Callithrix jacchus: one gene and its partners. The protein of the gene in region 2 purifies or fractionates together with the protein of the main gene of each other region. This does not show direct contact. Links are inferred from orthologs where the notes say so. Each region holds a gene or a part of one and is shown on either strand. Other genes may lie near its edges.

What was found. The genes of interacting proteins can lie anywhere in the genome.
Region 1: the proteins of mediator of RNA polymerase II transcription subunit 24 (region 2) and THRA purify together in Homo sapiens (affinity purification with western blotting; 3 studies listed by BioGRID, with this or other methods). This does not show direct contact. The link is inferred for Callithrix jacchus from reciprocal best matches to the Homo sapiens genes MED24 and THRA.
Region 3: the proteins of mediator of RNA polymerase II transcription subunit 24 (region 2) and MED9 purify together in Homo sapiens (affinity purification with mass spectrometry; 5 studies listed by BioGRID and IntAct, with this or other methods). This does not show direct contact. The link is inferred for Callithrix jacchus from reciprocal best matches to the Homo sapiens genes MED24 and MED9.
Region 4: the proteins of mediator of RNA polymerase II transcription subunit 24 (region 2) and CDK19 purify together in Homo sapiens (affinity purification with mass spectrometry; 6 studies listed by BioGRID and IntAct, counting the BioPlex papers as one, with this or other methods). This does not show direct contact. The link is inferred for Callithrix jacchus from reciprocal best matches to the Homo sapiens genes MED24 and CDK19.

The regions. Positions count from the first base shown.
Region 1 is NC_133506.1:71,685,831-71,689,330, forward strand, and holds part of THRA (thyroid hormone receptor alpha), read left to right. Parts: intron 1-1,478; coding exon 1,479-1,546; intron 1,547-2,115; coding exon 2,116-2,216; intron 2,217-3,500.
Region 2 is NC_133506.1:72,288,023-72,291,522, forward strand, and holds part of mediator of RNA polymerase II transcription subunit 24, read left to right. Parts: intron 1-623; coding exon 624-671; intron 672-2,348; coding exon 2,349-2,431; intron 2,432-2,723; coding exon 2,724-2,810; intron 2,811-3,500. UniProt on the Homo sapiens protein: Component of the Mediator complex, a coactivator involved in the regulated transcription of nearly all RNA polymerase II-dependent genes.
Region 3 is NC_133506.1:69,656,775-69,659,044, reverse strand, and holds the end of MED9 (mediator of RNA polymerase II transcription subunit 9), read left to right. Parts: coding exon 1-128; 3' UTR 129-1,770; downstream 1,771-2,270.
Region 4 is NC_133505.1:116,792,894-116,796,393, reverse strand, and holds part of CDK19 (cyclin-dependent kinase 19), read left to right. Parts: coding exon 1-18; intron 19-398; coding exon 399-496; intron 497-1,223; coding exon 1,224-1,302; intron 1,303-2,002; coding exon 2,003-2,269; intron 2,270-3,500.

The sequences.
Region 1 (3,500 bases), about 600 kb from region 2:
AGAGGCTGTGAGTCTGGTGGTAACTGCTGAAGACACCAGCTCCACTGGGGCCTAGGTGGCCTGAGTTCCCCTGCAGCCAACCCTCTGGAAGACGGGAGGGAGACCTGACCTTTCAGCCTCGTAGGAACTAGACAGGAGTAATCCCCAGGGGGCGTGGAGCACAGGGCTGTCTGTGACTGTGACCCTGGCCAAGGTCACTGTGTCAGTGTGTTGGGAGCTGTATCCGGCTCCAGGAGGAAGGGGCCTGCAACATGCCACAGGCAGGGTGGGTGCGGAGGTTATGCAATCCTTGCATGCATGTAGACAGCTTACATAACCTGTGTGCGCCGAGGTTATGTAACGTTTGTGTGGAGAGCTGGCAACATATATGTGCAGTGGCTGAGGGTTGCTGATAATACTTTGCACAGAGGGGCTCAGGCATGGCTGACTCCAGCTCATGGTGTCACCAGGCACAAGTGGGGCCTCAGCTTGCTGCTCTGTTAAATGTAGGCTGTGCAGAGGGTGGCTCTAGTGTTTTCCATTGCTGTGGGTTACTTAGCATGTGTGTATGACGTGGAACTCAAGCAACACCTGCACACGGGAGGGATGGGGGTGAGTTCATGAGGTGCCTGTGCAGAGGGCTGCGTAACACATGGGCATATCCTGGAGGTCGTATAGCACATTAAGAATGCCCTGGAGGCCGGGCGCGGTGGCTCACGCCTGTAATCCCAGCACTTTGGGAGGCCGAGGTGGGTGGATCACGAGGTCAAGAGATCAAGACCATCCTGGTCAACGTGGTGAAACCCCGTCTCTACTAAAAATACAAAAAATTAGCTGGGCGTGGCGGCACATGCCTGTAGTCCCAGCTACTCAGGAGGCTGAGGCAGGAGAATTGCCTGAACCCAGGAGGCGGAGGTTGCGGTGAGCCGAGATTGCACCATTGCACTCCAGCCTGGGTAGCAAGAGCGAAACTCCATCTCAATTAAAAAAAAAAACAAAAAAACAATGCCCCGGAAATTACACAGATATGTCAGCCCTGGCGCATACTTACTATACTTGGGTTTATGGCGAAGGCTGCATGGTTATTCATCCGCGCCAGTGTTATGTTGCATATGTATGTGTGTGTTCTATAGGTTACGTAGCTCTAAGCATATCCTGAGAATTCTTCCAGCGTATTTATCATGTACTACAAGATGAGGATGTCCCGTGGATGATGGGAGCTTCAGGTGTGCTTCGGGTCTTCTGGCGGGTGAACGTGTGTGTGTTGGGGCTCTAGAGCAGGTTTGTGCTGCAGCCAAGCCCCTTATCTTTCTCTCCTGCAGCTTCCAGATAGCTGGACCCTTTTAAGCATTGTCAGCTGACCCAGGGGGGTCGAGGGAGGTAGAATGAGGACACAAAATGGAAAGAATCAGGCCTGGGGGGATTGTATAAGCCTCTCGGAGGAGAAGGGGGTTGCCCAAAGACTGCTCTGTGATTCTATCCACTTTACCCCCATCCAGTGCCAGGTCACCAGATGGAAAGAGAAAAAGAAAGAACGGCCAATGTTCCCTGAAAACCAGCATGTCAGGTGAGGCTGGCCATGCGTGCCCCTTCTCCACACCCGACCCCACCAAACCTGGCCAGGCCTCCTCCGGACCTGGACGTGTCCCAGCAGCTCCTGTGTTCCCTGCGGGGAGCCTCCTAGAGGGCTTGGGATGGCCTTGTCTGGGGTGAGAAAGGTGATGGGGGATGTACCCTGCTTTTGAGGGTGTATTAGATCATGAAGGCCTCTTCCCTCCTTCCCTAACACCCTCATCTGAGGCCCCACTGGAATCAGGACCTGAGCTGAAGGACTGAGGGGCTTTCCCCTCCCCAGTGAGCTGCTGACACTTATTTTTCCCTCCCCACCATCCTCTGCCTTGTAGATAGAGCAAGAAGAAAGCCCTGAATGGGCAATCAGAAGACCTGAGATTCTTCATACTCTTAGGGCAGAGGATGGGCAAGTTCACCCCCAGTGTCTCTCTAGGATTCTACCAGGGAGGCTGGTCTAGGAGAGGGGCCAAAAACAAAAAGTTGAGGGAAGGGGAAAAGTGTGAGGGCCTCTGTGCTGGGACTGCAAGCCATGCCTGCCTTCCTCCATCCTTTCCTTCCTCCCAGGGTATATCCCTAGTTACCTGGACAAAGACGAGCAGTGTGTCGTGTGTGGGGACAAGGCAACTGGTTATCACTACCGCTGTATCACTTGTGAGGGCTGCAAGGTATGGAAGCCACCTCCTGCCCCTCCCCTGCCACCTGAGCCCCATCTTACTCCCTTTAAGTCTCTCAGAACCTGGCACGACAGACAAAATCTATAAATATGTCAATATGTCACCTAAAGCCCACCTGTTAGGTCATCACTTCTTTTTTTTTTTTTTTTTTTTTTTTGAGATGGAATTTCACTCTTGTCACCCAGGCTGAAGTGCAGTAGCATGATCTCAGCTCACTGCCACCTCCACCTACCGGGTTCAAACAATTCCCCTACCTCGGCCTCCCAAGTAGCTGGGATTACAGGCATGTGCCACCAGACCCAGCTAATTTTTTTGGATTTTTAGTAGAGACGGGGTTTCACCATGTTGGCCAGGTTGGTCTTGAACTCTTGACCTCAGGTGATCCACCTGCCTTGGCCTCCCAAAGTGCTGGGATTATAGGAGTGAGCCACTGCGCCTGGCCACTTTCTCTTCTGCTACTCATTCATTCATAATCCCTCCTCTGCCACTCACAAGAAAATTGCCTAGCTTTTCTTAGCCTCAGTTTCTTCATCTATAAAATAAGGATAATCATTCCATCTACCTTCTAGCATTGTTGGGAAAATTAAATGGGATAATTCACTTGAAGTGTTTAAAACAGTAACACTGGATGCCGTGGCTCACGCCTAAAAATCCCAGTCCTTTGGGAGGAAGGTCAAGGTGGGAGCATCCCTTGATCCCAGGAGTTTGAGACCAGCCTGGGCAACATAGCAAGACCCTGTCTTTACAAAATAAAAATTAAAGAAATTAGCTAGGTGTGGTGGTGCATGCCTATAGTCCCAGCTACTCAAGAGGCTGAGGTGGGAGGATTGCTTGAACCCAAAAAGTTAAGGCTGCAGTGAATTGTGATGGTGCTACTGCACTCCAGTCTAGGTGACAGAGCAAGACTCTGTCTCAAAATAAAAGAAAACATAAAAGATAACTCTCCCTATTGCTGTGTGCGGCAGCTCACACCTGTAATCCCAGCACTTTAGGAGGCCGAGGCGGGTGGATCACCAGAGGTCGGGAGTTTGAGACCAGCCTGACCAACATGGAAAAACCCCATCTCTACTAAAAATACAAAATTAGCTGGGCGTGGTGGTGCATGCCTGTATTCCCAGATACTCGGGAGGGTGAAGCAGGAGAATTGCTTGAACCCAGGAGATGGAGGTTGCAGTAAACTGAGATTGTACCATTGCACTCCAATCTGGGCAACAAGAGTGAAACTCCATCTCAATAAATAAATAAGTAAATAAAACAGACTGGGTGTGGTGGCTC
Region 2 (3,500 bases):
GGAGCCAGGGAAAGGGGCCCCAGTCCTCCTTGAAGCTGGGGATCTACTTTTGCTTATGGCATTTTTTTTCTGTTGAGTGAGCAGAGGTGCAGGGTCCCTGTGTCCTGTGCCTCGGCCTGGGGGCATAAGGGACCTAGGTACCTATTGGCTGTCATTTAGCTCTTTTTTTTTTTTTTTTGAGATGGAGTTTCGCTGTTGTTACCCAGACTGGAGTGCAATGGCACAATCTTGGCTCACCACAACCTCTGCCTTCTGGGTTTAAGCAATTCTCCTGCCTCAGCCTCCCGAGTAGCTGGGACTACAGGTGCGCACCACCATGCCCAGCTAATTTTTTTTTTTTTTGTATTTTTAGTAGAGACGGGGTTTCACCTTGTTGACCACAATGGTCTCGATCTCTTGACCTTGTGATCCACCCGCTTCAGCTTCCCAAAGTGCTGGGATTATAGGTGTGAGCCACAGCGCCCGGCCTTGGCTGTCATTTAGCTCTAAGTGTGCTCTCACTCTCAGGGCAGGACTGTTCCTGTCTCTCTCCTTGGAGGAGGGGGTTGCGGGGAGGTCTTCAGGGGTAGATGAAAGAGAAAAGAAACAGATCTTGCTGTTTTTCCCTCTGCCTCACCCCCTAGATTCCACAGGTTTTGGTGAAGTTGAAGAAATACTTTCACGGGGACAAGGTGAGTTGAGGAATTGAGATGGAGTCATGGGAGCAAAAACAAGGGCAAGGGAAGGGTCCTTCAGGCCCCAACCGGACAGTGTTCTCATGCCTGGAAGAGAGCTGGATGCGTGTGTGCATGTGTGCACCTCAGTGTGTGTGTGCTTTGCTGTGTATGTGCTTCAGTGTGTGTGCTTTAGTGTGTGTATGTGCTTCAGTGTGTGTTTCAGTGTGTGCACCTGCCTCACCATGAGTGTGCTTCAGTGTGTGTATGTTTTAGTGTGTGTGCTTCAGTTTGCGTGTGTGCTTCAGTGTGTTTCAGTGTGTGCATGCGCTTCCGTGTGTGCTTCAGTGTGTGTGCGCTTCAGTGTGTGCGCTTTAGAGTGTGTGCTTCAGTGTGTGTGTTTCAGTGTGTGTGCTTCAGTGTGTGTGCGCTTCAGTGTGTGTGCTTCAGTGTGTGTGTGTTTCAGTGTGTGTGCTTCAGTGTGTGCGCTTTAGAGTGTGTGTGCTTCAGTGTGTGTGCACTTCAGTGTGTTCGCTTCAGTGTATGTGCTTCAGTGTGTGCACTTCAGTGTGTTCGCTTCAGTGTATGTGCTTCAGTGTGTGTGTGTGCTTCAGTGTGTGTGCACTTCAGTGTGTGTTCGCTTCAGTGTATGTATGCTTCAGTGTGTGTGTGCTTCAGTGTGTATGTGCGCTTCAGTGTGTGTGCGCTTCAGTGTGTGTGTGTGCTTCAGTGTGTATGTGTGCTTGTGTGTGCGCTTCAGTGTGTGTGTGCTTCAGTGTGTATGTGCGCTTGTGTGTGTGCGCTTCAGTGTGTGTGCTTCAGTGTGTGTGTGTGCTTCAGTGTGTATGTGCGCTTCAGTGTGTGTGTGCTTCAGTGTGCGTGTGCTTCAGTGTGCGTGTGCTTCAGTGTGTGTGTGCTTCAGTGTGTGTGTGTGCTTCAGTGTGCATGTGCTTCAGTGTGCGTGTACTTCAGTGTGTGTGCTTCAGTGTGTGTGTGCTTCAGTGTGCGTGTACTTCAGTGTGTGTGTGCTTCAGTGTGTATGTGTGCTTCAGTGTGCATGTGCTTCAGTGTGCGTGTACTTCAGTGTGTGTGCTTCAGTGTGCGTGTGCTTCAGTGTGTGTGTGCTTCAGTGTGTGTGTACTTCAGTGTGTGTGTGTGCTTCAGTGTGTGTGTGTGCTTCAGTGTGTGTGCGTGCTTCAGTGTGTGTGTGCTTCAGTGTGTGTGTGCGCTTCAGTGTGTATGTGTGCTTCAGTGTGTGTGTGTTCAGTGTGTGTGCGCTTCAGTATGTGTATGTGCTTCAGTGTGTGCGCCTGCTTCAGCATGAGTATGCTTCAGTGTGCGTGTGCTTCAGTTTGTGTGTGTTTCAGCATGTGCACCTGTGTCAGAGTGTGTGTGTGTTCGCTTCAGCATGTGCGTGCACCCACAGCATATACCCAGGCTCCAGGCAGAAGGCAGCTAGGCAGCTCAGGCTGATGCCTCCAGCAGTCAAGCTTGCCTGAGATGATAAGGGCCGGGTGGCGCTGTGGGGAGCAGTGATGCCGCGTACTTCTTCCCAGCCAGTCGCTGGGAACCAGCGGTGGGCAGGGCCTGCTTACAGGCTGTGTATCCAGCAGCGTGTCCTTGTGAGCCTGCCCTGCAGGTTGAGGGAGGAGCAGAGGACCTGGAAACCAGGTAGACACTTCTGTCTCTTTTTAGGACTTCACTGAGGATGTCAACTGTGCTTTTGAGTTCCTGCTGAAGCTCACACCCTTGTTGGACAAAGCTGACCAGCGCTGCAAGTATGAGCTCCCCTGCTCACCCCTGCCCTACTGGAAGGTGTTCTGGGCTCTTCCCTGATCTGTGCCTGAAAAGCTTCAGGGGACTCTGTCCCCTTGTTCACTCCCCTTGGGAGGGGCAGAAAGCAGAAGCCCATAGTTGTCAAGTCCGCAGAGCCCCTCTACTGTCCCTCAGGCACTCCAGATTTTCCTCATCCTGAAAGAGGGAGGAGGATGCTCAGGGACCTGCTGCTCCCTCTGCCCCCCAACATCCCAGCCAGATGCACAGTTCCCTCAGCATCTTTCTCCCTCGCAGCTGTGACTGTACAAACTTCCTGCTCCAAGAATGTGGCAAGCAGGGGCTTCTGTCTGAGGCCAGCGTGAACAACCTTATGACTAAGCGGTAAGTGTGAGCGCACCTGGGCTACCCCAAGAGCCCCTTGATCTCTTTCTTGTTACGATGGGCCTGCTGGGTGCCTTTCAATCTTCTGTCTAAAGTGTGGGCTGCAAGTGACTGGGATCATGCCTCAGTGTACAGGGAACAGGAAGGAAAAGAAGGCACCAGTGTCTTCAGACCAGAGTTTTACACTCTTAGTCACTGCTCTTTAACTCATACCCATCTTTGTGATAAAAGTAAAAATCCTAGGCCGGAGGCGGGTGGATTACTTGGAGGCTAGGAGTTCAAGACCAGCCTGGCCAACATGGCAAAACCCCATCTCTACTAAAAATACAAAAATCAGCTGGGCATGTGGTATGCACCTGTAATCCCAGCTACTTGGGAGGCTGAGGCATGAGCATTGCTTAAACCCAGGAGGTGGAGATTGCAGTGAGCTGAGATTGCACCATTGCACTCCAGCCTCGGCAACAGAGTGAGACCTTGTCTCAAAAAAAAAAAAAAAAAAAAAAAATTCTGAATCTTCTTTTAATCTTAAATCTGCTTTCAGAGCATTTAAGATGAATCATAGGCTGGGTGGGGTGGCTCATGCCTTAATCCCAGCACTTTGGGAGGCTGAGGCAGGTGGATCACAAGATCAGGTGAAACCCCGTCTCTACCAAAAATAGAAAAATTAGCAAGGTTTGGTGATGCGGCCTG
Region 3 (2,270 bases), about 2.6 Mb from region 2:
CCGGCATCCACCTGAGCCCTGAACAGCAGCAGCAGCAGCTGCACAGCCTCCGGGATCAAGTCAGGACCAAGAACGAGCTTCTGCAAAAGTACAAGAGCCTCTGCATGTTCGAAATCCCCAAGGAGTAGAGCGAGGCCGACTTCCAGGAGCACCTGAGAAAGAGGGAAGCAAATGGCCTGTCACCCCACAGCCACTACCCCCCCGGCCGAACGCTTGTTGGGGCACAGTTCCTGTGGAACCCAGCTCAGAACTTCAAGCTGCAGGGGCGGGGTTCCTGTGCGGGAGCCAGCGCCGAGAGCTTGGCTGTGCTGGGGCTTCCTTGTGTAGATCCATATGTCTAGATGCATAATAACTGGAGTGCCTGCTGGTGGAAGTCAGAATGCTCCTGGAGGCTGCGGAGGGGGTGGAGGACTCTCCCTTGCCTCTGGGGAGGGGGCCATCTGCTTCGCATCCAGCCCCACTGACAGATCTGAAGAACACAGTAAGAAGGGAGGCGGTTCCTCTCTGCTTCCTTCCCTCCCCCTCCTCCCACCCCCATAGGATCAGTGTGTACCAGGTACATATTGTTCCTGTTAGCAGCAGCTTCTTGAAACACTTGCATAGAATCCACTGGACAAATTAAGCCTGCGCTCATATGGCATAGAGCTGTGAGAGAATGTTTTGAAAGGCCACAGGGTGGCTTTTTTCCCAGTTTGGTTCCTTTTCTGTTTGAGCGGTGAAGGAACTATAGCTGTGGGGGTGTCGGCCCACACCCCTGCCAGGCAGCCCCTGGCTGCAGCTTCCCTGCTTCCTAGCACTCTCCTCTCCTTCAGCGCTTGCTCTCTTCCTTGCTCGGCACCTTCAGTCAGTGCCCAGGGCTGGCAAGGGGCCGTCCTTTCCACTCAGGCTGGAAGAGGTCTTCAGGCGGACAGACCTGTCTTCTGTCATTTCAGATTCCCATTGCCGTGGTGAAAAGGTCTTTCCCTTCTGTTCTCACTTGTGGCAGCGATGTGTACTATGCTGCAGAGGGGTTCATGATGCACCTTGTGTTCAGAGAGGGGCAGTTCGGGTGGTCCTCAGCCATGAGCTAGGCCTGACAGTGACACAGCCAAGTTTGAGCTCTTAAAGGTTTATAGCAGCCCTCATTTCCCCAGCATCCCTGATTTCTTCCGGATGGGACATTTTCTTTGTTTGCTCTCCCTTGACTGTCAAATTGAGGTAGGAGTAGTTCTCACCCTTGCTTCTCCAAGAGGGGGTGCCAAGTCCTGGAGTGTTGTTTGGGTCTAGGAATGAGCACACAACCTGCGCTGACCACTTCGGGGACTTAGCAGATGCCCGCCAACTGACCTCATTGGTAGGAGGACTGGGTGAAGATGTTTTTAGCAGAGCTGCCATTAGTGTCCAACTGCAGCTACCTATCAGAATGTGGGTGGTATATTGGGGACCTGGGGATGTGTGAAGGAGGAGACCAGATTTCAGTGGCTTTGCACAAAAAAGTAGGCTCGGAATTCAAGTGGGTGGTCACCTGTTAGACCAGTTCTACCTTGGAACTGTTATTTAACTGAATCAGTTATTTCCTTGAAATTTCACAGTTGCGGGTCGGCCACTTTTAAGGCTCTGACAGATACCATGAAACATGAAGCACATGGAAATCTAAGACCCTTGGGGTCTGAATGCAAGGCTGAAATGAACAAGGGCTCCTCACGCGGGTGGAGGGAGCTGGAGCCTACCTTGTGTTCCTGTTTTGACTTGTGACATTCAAACGCATAATTAAAAGGACTTGTACTCTGCTGTTTCTGGACATCATGCTTTCTGTACTGAGAAATTCATAGTGGGATGCTCTCAGATCATTTAGAGGAAAATGTTTCTCTTACTCTGTTCAGACACAGAACCAACCCTCTGTTCCTCAACTCCCTCCACTCACCTGCTGAACCAGTGTGGAACAGGAACTCCTCTCCCGGCTGGCCTCAAGGGGAGTTTGCCTGGCAGGTCATCCCTGCCCCTGCCTGGCACGGGCCCCTGGGCATCCGTGGTTGCCTTTGATGGAGTGGCAGGGTGGGAGTGGGGGTCCAGTGCCTTTTGGTGACTGGAGGTTTAGTCCTGCCAGAACTGCCCTCCCTGAGCAGGGTTGAAATCCTTCTAGGACAATTGTTGAGTGTTCCTCACAGGGCTGAGCACCCTCTCAAAGCCACTAATTATTTGGATTACTGGGTGGCATGCATTTGTGCTAAGTACTTTTCAGATACCACACTTAATCCTCACAGCAAGCCCATGCAGAGGGTGCTCTGCCC
Region 4 (3,500 bases), on a different chromosome or scaffold from region 2:
AGCAAAGTGTTCCTCTTGGTAGGTGCTTCTCTCCCAGACTGAAATCTGATCCTTGGTGCAACTCTTGCCTTCTCCAATTTACTTAGCTATTCCTCCTCTTTAGAAACTAAAGAAATTGGTGGATACTGGGGCAAAATTAAACATTTTTTTGTTATGATGTCACCCTTAACTTTCAGCATTAACTTTTTAAATGATTTATCAGCAGAAAATGAACTTTAAAATGGCTTTAATCCTGATGATTTCTGCCAGTTTTACATAAAAGTACGTAATATGTATAATCTGCAGTGAGCTATACAAAATATTTCATATTAATCCTGTTACACAGTAATACAAAAGACAAGGTGTTGACTTGTAAACAACCTTTTCGTGTGTTGTAAATTTCCTGTGTGTCACTCTAGCTTCAGAAACTCCTGACCATGGATCCAACCAAGAGAATTACCTCAGAGCAAGCTCTGCAGGATCCCTATTTTCAGGAGGACCCCTTGCCAACATTAGAGTATGTATCTCGTCTTTTCTGTGTCCTTTGCTCTAGGCTGAGGATGTCGCATGGTGGTTGAAAGCAAGGGAAGCACTTGCTACTGAAGTATTCAGCTTTTTTAGCAATACCACCTAAAGACTGCTTGAGACAAAGCTTCCACATTTTGAAACAGGCAAAGCTGTAGAGAGGTATGAATGAAAACAAGTGTTTTAGGAATGACCATTTGCAGTTTTACAGATGAAAACTAAAGCTGAGACTAGTTAAGATCTTTATAGACCATTTGGCCGGATCAGAAATTCAGCCAAACCAGCAGGTAACTGAGAAGTTAATCTGTCTTCCAGAGCATGTCCATTACGCTACAAAACCCCTGTACTTCATCCTTCTTACCCCCAAGTATATACTTTGTGTTTTCATCTACAAGAGGTGCAGTTATTCTTGTTAAAGCAAATACAAATTAGTTTTGGTGCTAATGAAGTTAGTATAGAGAAACTTCTATGTCCAATATGTTGACTAGCTAGCAGCAGTCAAGATTTGAAATTGAAAGTAGCAATTATTATAAAACTTCATACAATTGATTGTTCTTTTCTTATTGCTTAAGTTGTGATAGGAGGCACATAGCAAACACCAGCCACAGATGAAGAGTAGGAAATAAGTGAAGAAAAACAAATTGGAATTTTAAATTAACAAGGTATGATATTATAGATTTTAGATCATGATATTTTTTTTTCTTTTTAATGATTTTTAGTGTATTTGCTGGCTGCCAGATTCCATACCCCAAACGAGAATTCCTTAATGAAGATGAACCTGAAGAAAAAGGTGACAAGGTATAAACTGCATGCTATACTTTCATTTCCAAAGAGCGAGGGAGGCAAAAAGATAGCTTAGGTATCACTCCATAATTCCTGTATATTTAACGACCTTTTCTAATATTTAATTAAATTTTTATGTATCTTTCCGTGGAAGTTTGGGGATTGTAAAGGTGCCCTGAAGTTTGAAGTATGAGCAGCTCGCGGATACCTGAGCTTCCGGTGTGTGCCCCAGCCTGTTCCACTCCTGGAGTCCCCCTTCTTGCTCTTGCTGTTTGTTTGCTGTCACTGCCACCCCTTTATGCAGGCTGACTTTTGCAAGCATCACTCTATTCTTTCCTCTTAACTGGATATATTGGCTCACTCTCCAGACTGTTCTGCCTTTCCAGAGTCATGATTGAAAAGATTTCTTATAGCTTTTTGTGAGCTCTAAGAAGTCTATTTCTGATGTGCCTGTGGCCGTCTGTGACTGATTTGGAGGATCACTGTGCAATCTAAAGGAACTTCAGGGTAAGAGCCCTGTTTGGGGCTTGGCGCCCTGCCTTTTGGGAACACCGTGCTCCCTGGCTGCTCCATTCTCCTGTCCTCCCAGTCACTCTAGTGTTGCACATAGATTGCTCCCCCAGGTTGGTCAGCAGCCTCATGTGCATATCAAATAATTAAAGAAAGTTTTTGTTAATTTGGTTTCATACCAAGCTTGCTTCTTTCCCCTTAAAAGAATCAGCAACAGCAGCAGAACCAGCATCAGCAGCCCACAGCCCCTCCACAGCAGGCAGCAGCCCCTCCACAGGCGCCCCCACCCCAGCAGAACAGCACCCAGACCAACGGGACCGCTGGTGGGGCCGGGGCCGGGGTCGGGGGCACTGGAACAGGGTTGCAGCACAGCCAGGACTCCGGCCTGAACCAGGTGCCTCCGAACAAGAAGCCACGGCTAGGGCCTTCAGGCGCAAACTCAGGCGGGCCTGTGATGCCCTCGGATTATCAGGTACTCCCTGAATGTCTAATGTTCATATGCTTTATGAAGTGGGAATAGATTTATACTAGACCCTGTTAGAGTTAGGTAACACTTAACTCTTAGATTTGACTGTGCCACCTATACAATCCTATTTCTAGGGCATTCTTTGAAAGGGAAGATTTTCATCATATTTCATATAATTGTAAGCTATCTCATATTCTGCCTTATGTATCCTGAACCCCTTAGGAGAGGAAGGTAGGGAGGGGAGCGCCCCCCTCCTTAAAGAAAACTTCATCATTTTACCCTTACATCTGCCTTAGCAGTGCAGTCGAAAAGAGGAGGCGAGTGGTTGCTTATTATGGACAAAATTAATTGCATTCTTCAGAAAGATATGCTCTTCCTGGGAGAAAATAGCTACATAGATGAAGAAGAGAAGGGGGCTAAGACTGAGGCTTCTCTGAAATAACTGTTAAGTCTCAATAGAAATAATTTTGAGACTAGAAAATACTGTTATTCAGATAAAAAGAGAACACCAATTGCAGTACTAATTCCGGAAATTAACGGAACTAAGTTTAAGGATTGGTATTTGGAGAGAAAGGTAAAAATACCCATTGTGATAACTGTAGGAAATCTTGAAAAATAAAATTCTTTTCAAGGTAGTAACAAGTTAAGAAAACATCCAAGAAGAAGAGAAAACTTAATTTTTTTTTTTTTTTAAGTTTAGAACCACAGTCCCTCAGGGAACTCTTGGAGATGAGTACTTAGGATAGAGTTAATAGAAAACAAAACCTCTGGCAAGGGAGCCATAAACTCACTGATGAGGAACTGCAATAGAGAGAAACGGTAACAAGAAGGACGTAACAAATAGCTGCCTAAACTGCCTTTACATTTTGAATAGCTCCAAAACGAATGTGTTTCCACACAGCTACTTCTCTGAAAAACTTCTCTTCTGAAGATCCCTGCCAGCAGAAGGGTACATATTACTTCCACTTGGTTCCAATTAAACAAATTGAGGCTTCAGTTTGATCTGAAAACAGCTTGCTATCTGGGTAGTAGCACGAGCATATTTGAATTTTGTTATGAAATCTGTTCCCCACCCTGTTATCTGAGCAACAAATACTTCCTATATACTGGTTCATCTTTGTGTCTCTGATTAAATCATATTAACCTGTGTTAAAAAAATTTACATAAACACTTGTTAAAGTTGGTAAGGCAGACTTTATTCAAGGCAGGGCCATGGCAGTGCGTAAAAACACCACTG